Macaca fascicularis: one gene and its partners. Each later gene encodes a partner of the first gene's protein in a complex. Links are inferred from orthologs where the notes say so. Each region holds a gene or a part of one and is shown on either strand. Other genes may lie near its edges.

The links.
Region 2: the proteins of ABL1 (region 1) and SH3BP1 are in contact, whole or in part, in a crystal structure (PDB 1ABO), measured with the Mus musculus proteins. The link is inferred for Macaca fascicularis from reciprocal best matches to the Homo sapiens genes ABL1 and SH3BP1. Residues at the interface, in NP_033724.2 of Mus musculus: Tyr70, Phe72, Ser75, Gly76, Asp77, Thr79, Asn94, Glu98, Trp99, Trp110, Pro112, Asn114, Tyr115; in NP_001303613.1 of Mus musculus: Ala607, Pro608, Thr609, Met610, Pro611, Pro612, Pro613, Leu614, Pro615, Pro616.
Region 3: the proteins of ABL1 (region 1) and CRK are in contact, whole or in part, in an NMR structure (PDB 1JU5), measured with the Homo sapiens proteins. The link is inferred for Macaca fascicularis from reciprocal best matches to the Homo sapiens genes ABL1 and CRK. Residues at the interface, in NP_005148.2 of Homo sapiens: Tyr70, Phe72, Asp77, Asn78, Thr79, Asn94, His95, Asn96, Gly97, Glu98, Trp99, Trp110, Pro112, Ser113, Asn114, Tyr115; in NP_058431.2 of Homo sapiens: Pro44, Asp46, Asn63, Gly66, Pro67, Arg68, Pro69, Pro70, Val71, Pro72, Pro73, Ser74, Pro75, Pro80, Gly81, Ser83, Pro84, Ser85.

Annotation. Positions count from the first base shown.
Region 1 is NC_088389.1:12,988,516-12,992,662, reverse strand, and holds part of ABL1 (tyrosine-protein kinase ABL1), read left to right. Parts: intron 1-3,005; coding exon 3,006-4,147. UniProt on the Homo sapiens protein: Non-receptor tyrosine-protein kinase that plays a role in many key processes linked to cell growth and survival such as cytoskeleton remodeling in response to extracellular stimuli, cell motility and adhesion, receptor endocytosis, autophagy, DNA damage response and apoptosis.
Region 2 is NC_088384.1:13,996,173-14,000,439, forward strand, and holds part of SH3BP1 (SH3 domain-binding protein 1), read right to left. Parts: intron 4,109-4,267; coding exon 4,032-4,108; intron 3,753-4,031; coding exon 3,641-3,752; intron 3,551-3,640; coding exon 3,474-3,550; intron 3,003-3,473; coding exon 2,858-3,002; intron 2,011-2,857; coding exon 1,942-2,010; intron 1,777-1,941; coding exon 1,686-1,776; intron 1,285-1,685; coding exon 1,139-1,284; intron 1-1,138. UniProt on the Homo sapiens protein: GTPase activating protein (GAP) which specifically converts GTP-bound Rho-type GTPases including RAC1 and CDC42 in their inactive GDP-bound form.
Region 3 is NC_088390.1:1,562,135-1,567,161, reverse strand, and holds the start of CRK (adapter molecule crk), read left to right. Parts: upstream 1-1,702; 5' UTR 1,703-1,846; coding exon 1,847-2,087; intron 2,088-5,027. UniProt on the Homo sapiens protein: Involved in cell branching and adhesion mediated by BCAR1-CRK-RAPGEF1 signaling and activation of RAP1.

The DNA of each region.
Region 1 (4,147 bases):
CTCCCACCTGTTACCCGCGGCATCTGTGGTTGCTGTCTCAGAGCAGATGCAACAATAGTAATCACCAGGCTGCGTGATGAGCAGCTCAGGGTGAAGGCACTGATGTAACAAGCTCGCTGCAGCCAGGCGGAACCAGGACACGCCCGTGGACAGAGCCCGTGTCCTGGTGGTCTCTGGGAAGAACATGTTTCTGGTGCCGTTGCCTAGGCAAGCGAGGGAGTTGGGATCAGCTCAGGAGGGTCTCAAAACACTAGCAATAATAATATTTGCCAACATTTATGTAGTGTGCCTACAGGCCAGGCTCTGTTCTGTGTTCGTGGTTGGCCCCCAGAACCAGCAGTCCAGGTTCTGCTGCAGACCAGCTGAACAAAAGCATTGAAGGGTATATTCGTTTGTTTTCATGCTGCTAATAAAGACATACCCAAGACTGCGTAATTTATTAAGGAAAGAAGTTTCACCAACTCACAGTTCTACATGACTAGGGAGGCTTCACAATCATGGCTGAAGGCGAATGAGGAGCAAAGTCATGTCTTATTTGGTGGCAGGCAAGAGATCTTGTGCAGGGGAAGTCCGCTTTATAAAACCATCAGATCTTGTGAGACTTATTCACTACCACGAGAATGTGGGAGAAACTGCCCCATGATTCATTTATCTCCACCTGACCCCGCCCTTGACACGTGGGGGTTATTACCATTCAAGGTGAGATTTGGGTGGGGACTCAGCTAAACCATATTGGAGGTGGGGGCTAGGCCAAGCATCTGGGTTCGTAGAGGATCCTGGGGATGGCAATAGTGGACTCCATTCTAATGGACCACAGACTGGGTACATGTGAAGGGACCGGACAAATCCCCACTTCATGGAGATTTATGGTGGGATGTTTACTGACAGCAGAATCTATAAACCTGAGTTTTCTTTATCACATACTCATATTAGTTAAAAAAAAAAAAATGAACATGCAGCCCATATATATGGTATATAAAGTACATACGTCTACTACCGTAGGAGTATAGTGTGTATGTTATGTACCAAAACGCACATTTCAAAGGCTTGCATGCTAAATAAGTCCAAATTAACAATGCTTCACCCCTGCTGGGTCATCTCGCTCACCCCCTTGGAGGTTATGGCATATAGACTGTCCAGAAGCTTCCACCCTCCCTCCTCCTGTTGGTTTTCCTGATTTCAGGTGGCTGAGCAGTGGGGGGAGGCCTCTGTGGGAACGCTGTGTGATCAGCAGTCATGTTCATTTATGCCCGTCAGTCTCATCTGAGGGGTATTTTGATAGTGATCTCTTGGTGAGCCGAGGGTGTCAATTAACTGCTCAGTGCTGAAATCGAGTGGTGCATAATTTATTACAATTTCACTCTCCTGGCCTCCTTCTACTAGATTAAAGTTCTGAGAGGGCTTTGGCGTTCCCTGATTCAGATGTCCCGCGTGCTGCCTTGGGTTCTGATAAATGCACACTGGTACCTCTGTTCTGAGTTACAGGTGCCAACAGAAAACCTCTTCTTGCAAGCTGACCTCTGAGGGAAAATTCTGTTATTCACTAGCAGGAGCTTGGCAACACCAAAAAGATTTTTTTTTTTTTTGAGAAGGAGTCTCACTCTGTTGCCAGGCTGGAGTGCAGTGGCGTGATCCCGGCTCACTGCAACCTCCGCCTCCCAGGTTCAAGCAATTCTCCTGCCTCATCCTTCTGAGTAGGTGGGACTATAGGCGTGTGCCACCATGCCCAGCTAATTTTTGCATTTTTTAGTAGAGATTGGGTTTCACCATGTTGGCCAGGATGGTCTCGATCTCTTGACCTCGTGATCCACCCGCCTTGGCCTTCCAAAGTGCTGGGATGACAGATGTGAGCCACCGCTCCTGGCTACCAAAAAGATTTCTTATAAGCTATGATTCATATTTTAAAAGTGCCCATTAAAAAACTGTTGGCCAGGTGTGGTGGCTCACACCTGTCATCCCAGCACTTTAGGAGGCCAAAGTGGGCGAATCATGAGGTCAGGCTCCCTTGGCACAAGCTGGGGGCTGCCCCCACCCCATGCTCCCAGAGGAGCACCCAAGCATCTGGGCTCAGACAGGCCTGGATCTGATAACCGGCTCTGATGCCCACCATCCATGAGGCCAGGCAAGTAGTCCCTTCTCTCCGTCTGTCCTCAGCTTTCTCACTTGTAACCGTGCTACAGCGCTGTTGTGAGAATGCACAGCAGATGACGTTGTAAAGGTGAAGCACGTGTCACGTTCCTCTCAATAAAGCCGTCATTGCTGTTAGGATTGTTGTTAGGAAAGGCTTTGAGCCAGGTGCAGTGGCTCATGCCTGTAATCCTAGCACTTTGGGAGGCCAAGGCGGGTTGATCACCTGAGGTCAGGAGTTTGAGACCAGCCTGACCACCATGGTGAAACCTGTCTCTTCTAAAGATACAAAATTAGCCACGCGTGGTAGCGCGTGCCTGTAATCCCAGCTACTTGGGAGGCTGAGGCAGGAGAACCGTTTGAACCTGGGAGGCGGAGGTTGCAGTGAGCTGAGATTGCGCCACTTCACTCCAGCCTAGGCAATGAGCGAGACTCCAACTCAAAAGAAAAGCTTTGGTCTCTTTCCCTGAAGATGGGAACAAAAAGCTGGATGGCCCTGGCCTTTTCATCCCTGCAGTGGTTTACTTTAAGGCAGCAGTCCCCCAACCCACCCACATCACTCTGGTGAGTAAAAACGATGACAAGGCCAAGCAAAGGGTCAAAACTTGTGGCTTTCCTGCCAGCCAGCTAGCTGACAGGCCTACAAGGAGTTCTGGGAATAAGGGGCTATGTCCCACTGTGGGGAAGGGACAATGGGCCATTATGCATAGGAGATAAGAAGGGTTCACCTTCGACAATTTTTTTGTTTGTTTGTTTTGGCTGGAGTGCAGTGGCGAGATCTCAGCTCACTGCAACCTCTGCCTCTATGGTTCAAGCGATTCTCCTGCCTTAGCCTCTGGAGTTGTCTGGAGTTGTCAGCTCTTCCCCTTGCGTTTCAGATCCTCTGGACCATGAGCCTGCCGTGTCTCCATTGCTCCCTCGAAAAGAGCGAGGTCCCCTGGAGGGCGGCCTGAATGAGGATGAACGCCTTCTCCCCAAAGACAAAAAGACCAACTTGTTCAGCGCCTTGATCAAGAAGAAGAAGAAGACAGCCCCAACCCCTCCCAAACGCAGCAGCTCCTTCCGGGAGATGGACGGCCAGCCGGAGCGCAGAGGGGCCGGCGAGGAAGAGGGCCGAGACATCAGCAATGGGGCGCTGGCTCTCACCCCTTTGGACACAGCTGACCCAGCCAAGTCCCCAAAGCCCAGCAATGGGGCTGGGGTCCCCAATGGAGCCCTCCGGGAGTCTGGGGGCTCAGGCTTTCGGTCTCCCCACCTGTGGAAGAAGTCCAGCACACTGACCAGCAGCCGCCTGGCCACTGGCGAGGAGGAGGGTGGTGGCAGCTCCAGCAAGCGCTTCCTGCGCTCCTGCTCGGCCTCCTGCGTTCCCCACGGGGCCAAGGACACAGAGTGGAGGTCGGTCACGCTGCCTCGGGACTTGCAGTCTACGGGAAGACAGTTTGACTCGTCCACATTTGGAGGGCACAAAAGTGAGAAGCCGGCTCTGCCTCGGAAGAGGGCAGGGGAGAACAGGTCTGACCAGGTGGCCCGAGGCACAGTAACGCCCCCGCCCAGGCTGGTGAAAAAGAACGAGGAAGCTGCTGATGAGGTCTTCAAAGACATCATGGAGTCCAGCCCGGGCTCCAGCCCGCCCAACCTGACTCCAAAACCCCTCCGGCGGCAGGTCATGATGGCCCCTGCCTCAGGCCTCCCCCACAAGGAAGAAGCTGGAAAGGGCAGTGCCTTAGGGACCCCTGCTGCAGCTGAGCCAGTGACCCCCACCAGCAAAGCAGGCTCAGGTGCACCAGGAGGCACCAGCAAGGGCCCCGCCGAGGAGTCCAGAATAAGGAGGCACAAGCACTCCTCTGAGTCGCCAGGAAGGGACAAGGGGAAATTGTCCAGGCTCAAACCTGCCCCGCCGCCCCCACCAGCAGCCTCTGCAGGGAAGGCTGGAGGAAAGCCCTCGCAGAGCCCGAGCCAGGAGGCGGCTGGGGAGGCAGGCCCGGGTGCAAAGACAAAAGCCACGAGCCTGGTTGATGCT
Region 2 (4,267 bases), on another chromosome or scaffold:
AGGTCTAGAATTCTGAGCAAAGGGCAGGGCTGGGAAGTCTGGGAGGAGGTGGGAAAAATCATGGGGAAATGGGAGCCCAGTCAGAAGTGGAAGGGAGGGGCCAGGCGCGGTGGCTCATGCCCGTAATTGTAGCACTTTGGGAGGCCCATGCAGGTGGATCACTTGAGGCCAGGGGTTCGAGACCAGCCTGGACAACATGGTAAAACCCCATCTCTACTAAAATAAAAAAAATTAGCTGGGCATGGTGGTGGGCATCTGTAATCCCAGCTACTTGGGAGACTGAGACACAAGAATTGCTTGAACCTGGGAGGTAGAGGCTGCAGTGAGCCAGGAGCATACCACTGCACTACAGCCTGGGTGACAGCGAGATCCTGTCTCAAAAAAAAAAAAAAAAAAAAAAGGGCCAGGCACAGTGGCTTATGCCTGTAACCCCAGCACTCTGGGAGGCCGAGGCAGGTGGATCACCTGAGGTTAGGAGTTCAAGACCAGCCTGGCCAACATACTCTCATCTCCATTAAAAAATACAAAAATTAGCTGGGCGTGTTGGCGCACGCCTGCAGTCCCAGCTACTTGTGAAGTTGAGGCAGGAGAATCACTTGAACCCAGGAGGTGGAGGCTGCAGTGAGCCGAGATCGCGCCACTGCACTCCAGCCTGGGTAACAGAGCAAGACCCCGTAACTCAAAAAAAAAAAAAAAAAGAAGTGTAAGGGAGAAAGGAGGCCCCAGCAGGATTGCTGAGTAGCTCAAAACTAATTTGGGGTATCTGCCACCTCCAGGGTCTGTCTGCAGGACAGGGGGGCAATGTATTCACAGCAGATCCAGCCAGTGTGTGGCAGTGGAGCCCCTGGTTTGAGAAGTCACCTTCTCATATGACTCTGGGCATGGTTACCTCTGTACCTCTGTCTCCCTCTTGTGAAATGGAGCGAGGAATGCAAAGGCTTCTAGCACAGCGCCTGGCCCACGCGAGCATCGACACGCGGGAGGTAGTGTGGATGCCGCAGGAGGTGACCATGTCTTCTCCCAGGGAACTGGGCTCGAATGAGGGAATTTCAGGCACCACGACAGGGCAGCATGTGGGGGGTTTGGGACAGAATGAGGGCCCCAGTGCTCCTTCCCCACCTGCCCCAGGGGGCCCCACCTCTTCCTTCGTGCCCTCAGAAAGCAGCATCATGACGCAGGCCTCAATGGGCAGGGCAATCTCCCGGCCCAGCTCATGCAGGTGGGTTGCCAGCGACACCCCATACACCCTGGAGAAGTGGGTGGCTGCCATCGACGGGGAGTGGTCTGCAGGGATGAAACAGATCAGCGGCCCAGGGCCTTTCCACCCAAGCAGTCAGGCAGGGGCACCCCCCTGATGTCCTCAAGGTGGTACCACCTGCCACCGACTATCCAGGCCCACATCTGAAATCATCCATCACATCTCTCGAATCGGCCCGCCTCCACTGCCTCTGTCCTAGTCTAGGCTACTGTTGCCTCCTTCCGCCTCACAGGCCTGGCTCTAGTCCTGCCCCCTTCACTCCACCCTCCACATGGCAGCCAGAGCAGCCTCTCCATCACAGATTAAACCCAGCTCTCGGACCCCAGCCACAGCTTTCTGCTGCCTTTCAGGATGAAGTGGAAGCTTCTCAGTAAGCCCCGAGCAGGGCGGGGTCAGGGGTGTGGTATCGCCGGGCCTACGTCCCCACCTGCTTGGCCATGGTTCTCCCTCAGCTCAGCCAGGGCCGTGTCCAGAGAGCTCAGTGACCTGCGATGGTAATCGGCTTGAATCTCCAGGAGCTGTGGGGGCGAAGGGACACCCTGAGTGGAAGTGAGGGAAGCTGAGCCTTCTCTAGGGTCCTTGAGAGCAGACACCCCCTCCACCATAGCACAGAGCCCCACTGGACCCTGGCTGTGGCATTTAGCCCCGAGCTCTGGATGGATGGGGCCCGGTCTTGGACTCACATGAATGAAATAGTTGGCATAGGAGTCCTCCTTGGTAACAAAGTGGTACAGGTCAGCCAAGTACTCGTCCTTGGGGACAGAGAGGGGAGAGCTTACATTGGGTGAGGCAGGGGGTCTAGAGGGAAAGAGGAGGCTTGGAGGGGTTGGTGACCTGTGCCCCAGGCCACACAACTGCAGGTGGAAGTCCCAGCCAGGCTCCTCTCTTCTGCCAAGGTTGGTGCTTGGGGCCAGCCCATGGGAACTCCCTCAAACTTTTCTGGCTTCTCGTCCCCATCTCTGTGTCCCCATAGCCTTAGCACAGTGCCCTGTTTTGTTTGTTTTTTTGTGCGGTTTTTTTTTTTTTTTTTTTGAGACAGAGTCTTGCACTGTTGCCTGGGCTGGAGTGTAGTGGTGTGATCTCGGCTCACTGCAACCTCCGCCTCCTGGGTTCAAGCAACTCTCCTGCCTCAGCCTCCCGAGTAGCTGGGATTATAGGTGCCCGCCACTACGCCCAGGTAAGTTTTTGTATTTTTAGTAGAGATGGGGTTTCACCATGTTGGCCAGGCTGGTCTTGAACTCCTGACCTCATGATTTGCCTGCCTCCCAAAGTGCTGGGATTACAGGTGTGAGACGCCGCGCCCGGCCCTGCACAGTGCTGTTATCATCCAATCATTCATTCACTCTTCATTCATTCACTTACTCGTTCAGCAAACACACGGAGACTCAGGGAACAGACCAAGTCTTGGCCTCCCCATGTTACGCATGGGGTACAGACAGAAGAGGGTACAAGGGAATGGCGGAGCTCTGCTGCCTCCTAGCCACATGGCCTTAGGCAAGTCATGTCACCCCTCTGAGCTTCAGCTTCCTTGCCTGTGAGATGGGGCCAGGACCCACCCCTGCCACCCCTGTACATCCAGGAGACCCATGTGGCCCTCACCCTGCATTGCTCCACCTTCCTCTTCAGCTCCTCCTCCTCCTCCTTCAGCGTCTCCACCTTGTTGGCCATAGTCGTGTGGCTGTGACTGCCCGGGCCGCCTCCCAGGCCTTGACTGCTGCCTGAATTCTTGGTTGCCTGACTGAGCCTGGGGATGATCCCAAGGGGAGCTGGTCACCTGCCCTGTTGCATGTCCAGAGCCAAGTGTCCCCTCCATACAGCAGACCACATGGTATTCTAGGATTTGGAGCTGCAGATCTGAGAGCTCCACTGGCTGGGGCCTCAGCCCAGGCTGGGCTACGAGTGCGCTGGGTTGCCCCCTGGTGGCGGGTTTGGTGATCACAGCCACCCAGCAGAGCCGAGAACAGGGACAGCCGCAGGACTGTTTATGGCGGTCCTACGCTTTGGGGTGGCCCCAGCACCAGCTGTGACACACACGGGCACACCCTCACAGATACCCTCACCACCTGTGTTTCCAGGGACCAGGCATGCGCAAGTATACACACTGTACTTAGCGGACCCCACAGCATCCTCCTGGTGTGGCCAGGGCCTCAAAGCTCTACGACCACCTCTGTGGGCTGACCCAGATATGAGGCCCCTGAGTGGCCGGGGCTCCCACCTGCTCTTGAGTGTGTTCCAGTCGGACACGAGCTTCTGGAGGCTTTTCTTGTGCTTGAGGATGGCTGGCAGCTCCTCCTGAGGATGGGCATGGGGGGTCAGTGTGCTGGGGGAGGACGGAGCCAGCAACCGGGGAAGGTGGGGACCGGGAGCAGGGCACAGGCTCACCTCACTCAGCCTGCTGAGTGGCTGCAGGACGTCCCTCTCCAGGGTCATCTCAAACTCGGCCAGGATGCGGGCCAGCTGGTTCTGGATGGCACAGCTCATCTCCAGGGCCTTCCTGTGGACACGGCACCCCATGGGCCCAGGCGCCCGCTGCCCTCACCTCCACTGGAAACACCTGGTGGGGCCTCTCCTCCTTCAATTCCGGCCCCTCCTAGATATCCTTCATCTCTGCTAAGGCCGAACACCCTCCCAGGCCTGGCCGCCCTCACTGACTTGAGCACTGTCCCCGGCCTGGTCATTCTTCCGATGTGGATGCCCTCACCACCTGGACCCCTCCCAGCTGAGATCATGTCTTGGTAGCCCCAGGTGAGGGCAGGGCCCCGTCTATGCTCACCCCATGCTGGAATCAGGGTCCAGCTCCTTGAAGCTCTCGGCCATCGTGGTGGACAGAGCCATGAGGGGAAGCTTCTTCTGCAGGGAGGTTGGGGCCGGCAGTGAGTGTCCTTGCCTCCCTCCACCCTGCCTGAGCAGCAGGCCAGCCCCTTGGGGGCAGGTGAGGAGGGAACCCAGGAATGCCACAGTCCCAGATGAGAGTGGAAACAAGATGACAAGGCATGGTGTGGGTGACAT
Region 3 (5,027 bases), on another chromosome or scaffold:
CAGCCTGGGCGTCAGAGCAAGAATCCATCTGAAAAAAAAAAGAGAGACTATGGCTCAATTTTATGCTCTGAGCTAACCTGGGAGTTTGAACACCTGAAGACTGTTAAACGTTTTACACAAGGTAGCAACACATTCAGATTTGTATACATATATACTTTTTTGAGACAGGATCTCCCTCTGTCGCCCAGGCTGGAGTGTAATGGTGGGATCTCAGCTCACTGCAACCTCTGTCTCCCGGGTTCAAGCGATTCTCCTGCCTCATCTTCCTGAGTAGCTGGGATTACAGGCAGCCACTATCACGCCCAGCTAATTTTTGTATTAGTAGAGACGCGGTTTCACCATATTGGTCAGCCTGGTCTAGAACTCCTGACCTCAGGTGATCCGCCTGCCTCAGCCTCCCAAAGTGTTGGGATTACAGGCGTGAGCCACCGTGCCCAGCCAGATCTGTATTTTAGAAAACTCAGTGGGAGCTGTTTGCAGTGCAATTAGAGGCAACCAGACGAAAGGGCACCAGCGAGCAAGCCACTCATAGGAACACAGTCCAGAGTGACCATGACGGCAGTGAAAGTAGGAGATGCCCCTGGCTACAATTTAGTGTTTAGAAGTATCTGGGCAGGTGACCCCAAAGCCTCAAAAGAGAGGAGAACTCTGTACTTCACGTGGCTTGGCACACTCTGCTCCCTTTGCTTTGAATGTCCTTCCCCTTTTGTCATTCAGCAGTCAACACATGCTACCTCCTCTGGGAAGCCCTCTTGGATTACTCCGCAGACTGGATGGAGGGGGGCTCTGCTCTGTGTTCATGTCCGTTTCCCATGATAGCGCTTGTCAGCATTTGTCATCCTTTTGTCATGCAGTTTCCTGGTTCCTCTCACTGGTGTGTGAGTTTGAGGAGTGCAGGGCCCAGCATCCATCACCTTTGCACCCGCAGTGCAGGTGGAGTGTCCATAACAATGTCCTGAATGAATCAATGAAAATGAGAACGTCAGCCGGCCTGTGGAGAAGCTAGAGGAACGAGAAGAAACAGACCGACATGGCCGGGAGCGATGTTTCTCGCCTGTAATCCCAGCACTTTGGGAGACCGAAGCGGGTGGATCACCCGAGGTCAGGAGTTCGAGACCAGCCTGGCCAACATGGTGAAACCCCCGTCTCTACTAAAAATACAAAAATTAGCCAGGCGTGGTGGCGCTCGCCTGTAATCCCAGCTACTTGGGAGGCGGAGGCAGGAGAATCGCTTGAACGCGGGAGGCGGAGGTTGCGGTGAGCCGAGATCGCGGCACTGCACTCCAGTCTGGGCGACAGAGACACCGTCTGAAAAAACAAAATAAGAAAAAGAAAAGAGAAACAGACTGATATCCCAGGAAGCCTGGCCGAGAACTGAGGCCCCAGGGCCACACGCGTCTTTTCTCCTGCAATCCTGTCTGGGAGCCGCCGCCTAGAAGTCCCGGGCAGTCCGGGAACGCGAGCCTGAAGCAGCACCGCGCGGTCGGCGGCGCAGGCGCACGTCTCTGCGGGAGGCCGCGAGGCCCCGCCCCCGGGCCCTAGACCCCGCCTCCCATCCCCCTCATCCCCGGGCCGGGCAGGGCGGCACCGCCCATGAGGCCGCATGCGCAGTGCGCGCGCGAGGGCGCCTTGCCCTTCTCCCAATGGCGGGCCGCGGGCCCCTTCCCGGCAGCCTCCCTCGGGCAGGGAGCGCGTCATTTCCGGTGGGGAAGGCCCGCGGCTGCCGCCGCCATTTCGGGCGCTGCTGTGAAGCTGAAACCGGAGCCGGTCCGCTGGGCGGCGGGCGCCGGGGGCCGGAGGGGCGCGCGCGGCGGCGGCACCCCAGCGTTTAGGCGCGGAGGCAGCCATGGCGGGCAACTTCGACTCGGAGGAGCGGAGTAGCTGGTACTGGGGGCGGTTGAGTCGGCAGGAGGCGGTGGCGCTGCTGCAGGGCCAGCGGCACGGGGTGTTCCTGGTGCGGGACTCGAGCACCAGCCCCGGGGACTATGTGCTCAGCGTCTCAGAGAACTCGCGCGTCTCCCACTACATCATCAACAGCAGCGGCCCGCGCCCGCCAGTGCCGCCGTCGCCCGCCCAACCTCCGCCGGGTGAGGGACTGACGGGACGGGGGGCCCTGGGCGGGGTGAGGGCCGCGGAGCTCCCAGCCCGGCTGGCTGCTCCTTGAGAGCGGACCCTCGGGGTCGTGGGCAGAGGGCTGGGTGACCGTGGCAGGGGCCCGCCGGCTGCTGGGGCTCATTCCCACCCGGGGAACAGGAGTGTGGGGGAGGAGGAGCCGCGGACCGAGGCCCCGGGGTGTGCCTGGGAAGGGCAGCCCCGGGGAAGGGGAACTGCTTCGGCCCCAGGGTGGGGCTGGCTCCCGGGCCAGGCGCAAGGGTAGGGCAGGGCAAGGCAACGTGGGGACAAAGAGCTGAGGGAGATGTTGGCACTGCGGGGGCATCACTTGGCAGCGGCGCCCAGAATGAATCCGATAATCCTACAAGTGGCTTTTGGGCTGGAAGCGTTTCCTGCCGTGTTGGAGAGCCGGGTTTGGCCGTGCTCCCCTGGTGGCCTTTGGTAGGAAGTCACCACAAACTGGCCGGGAGGGATGGAGACACCCTCAGGAAACCGGTTAGTTTTTTCCTTTCTTGGGCATTTTTCCAAAATCCTTGTACCGTCCTCTTCCCCCGTGGAGGACGAAGGTGGTGAATTAAGTGATAGAAGAAAGCCTTCAGTGACCAGCCCAACCCAGTTTAAGGCGATGCCTGGCTGCGTGCAGGACATCTAAGCGTCCAGAAGACTGTCCGCCGGTAGAGGGTTCTGGTTTTCAAAGTGTTTAGTGGAGGAAAGACATTTTATTCCAGAGAATAAACCAGAAATGAGGCAGTGGAAACAGACCCTTCCCTGGATGTGACTGGAGCTTCATTTTCCTTGGACTTAAACATTGTCAGTGTGTACTTCAGGGCGTGACCTTGCTCAGTAAGATGGGGCTGCGGGCTGAGTCTTCCTGGATGCTGGGAACAGACTCTACGCCAAGAACATAAATTACCTGCGCTGGGTTTTTCTTGCCAGGGATCCCTGAGATTGACTGTCTTTCCGATGCCGTTGGAGTTGATTTGGGAGTGTTTCAAGGGAATAGATAGATGCCCTTAGTACTGGAGATTTGTGAGGTACGAAGTAATTCTGGGGTTCTCATTGTATGTGTACCTGTTTAACAGCATCAGGAGTCCTCGTGCCTTCACACTGTTGCCAAGTCGAAGCTGTTTCTTCTTGGCCGCTGAGACTGGGTTCAGACTAGTCTCCTATGAATCAGGAAGCTCCTGAGCCATCCTCTCTAGACTTTCTCTTGTAGGATCGTTCTAATTTAGATTTACTTGTTCCGGCCAGAAATGGAGAATTGAATAGCCAGTCTCTTTGTTATTAACACATACCAATTTTTATTTTACTTTTTCCTGAGACGGAGTCTCGCTCTGTCGCCCATGCTGGAGCGCAGTAGCACGATCTCGGCTCATGGCCACCTCCACCTCCCCGGGGCTCCCGGGTTCAAGATTCTCCTGCCTCAGTCTCCCGAGTAGCTGGGATTACAGGCACCCACCACCACAACCAGCTAATGTTGTATTTCTAGTAGAGACAAGATTTCACCAGATTGGCCAGGCTGGTCTCAAACTCCTGACCTCAGGTGATCCACCCTCCCAAAATGCTGGGATTACAGGTATGAGCCACCGTGCCTGGCCAACACATAACCAATTTTTTTCTTATTTTATTTATTTATTTATTATTTATTTATTTTGAGACAGAGTCTCTCTCTGTCACCCAGGCTGGAGTGCAGTGGCGCCATCTTGGCTCACTGCAACCTCCGCCTTTTGGGTTCAAGTGATTCTCCTGCCTCAGCCTCCTAAGTAGCTGGGATTACCAGTGCCTGTCACCACGCCCATCTAATTTTTGTATTTTTAGTAGAGATGGGGTTTTACCAGGTTGACCAGGTGGGTCTTGAACTCCTGACCTCAGGTAATCCACTCGCCTTTGCCCCCTCAAAGTGCTGGGATTACGGGTGTGAGCCACCGCACCCAGCTTTGTTTGTTTGAGGCGGAGTTTCACTTTTGTTGCCCAGGCTGGAGTTCAGTGGTGTGATCTCAGCTCACTGCAATCTCTACGTCGTGGGTTCAAAGGATTCTCTTGCTTCAGCCTCCCTAGTAGCTGGGATTACAGGCACACGCCACCATGCCTGGCTAGTTTTTGTATTTTTAGTAGAGATGGGGTTTCACCATGTTGACCAGGCTGGTCTCGAACTCCTGACCTCAGGTGATCCGCCCGCCTCAGCCTCCCAAAGTGCTGGGATTACAGGTGTGAGCCACCACACCCAGCCCAACACATAACTATTTTTAGAAAATGAGTATGGGGTCTATAAGTTCACAAATTATTGTAGATCTTTCTCATTCTGGCCAGTTTAATGGTGTTATGAGATGGGAATATTGATGTACCTGTGTTGGCCCTGAACCAGATATATGCTACTTTGATGCCACCTGCGTGGTATCTGGGGTTTTGCATTATATGTAGTAACATGATGGCAAACTTACTGAAACTCACTTTTCAGCCTTTTGTTTGTGTTTGTTGGTTGCCAGAGTTGAAAATGGCAGCCGGCAGGTTTGTTAGCTTGATATTTTTTCACATCTTAGCATAACGATTTTTATATCTCAAGCCTTACTTGGATAATGGAGCACCACCTTTTCAAAACAGATAAGAACTCAGTTCCTTGGCCCAGGAAAGAAGGTGAAGATTGCCAAAGTTTGTGGATGGGGTGTGGAATATTCACGAGTGTTGTGATAATTCTGCCATATTGTACCCCATTTTCTACGATTCAGTTGCTGTCTTTTCTCTCTTCTGAGACAGGGCCTTTGTCTCTCAAGCTGGAGTGCAGTGGCATGAACACAGCTCACTGCAGCCTTGACCTCCCGGGCTCAAGCCATCCTCCCACTTTAGCCTCCTGAGCAGCTGGGACTACAGGCATATCCACCATGCCTGGTTAACTGTTTAACTTTTTTTTGTGGAGA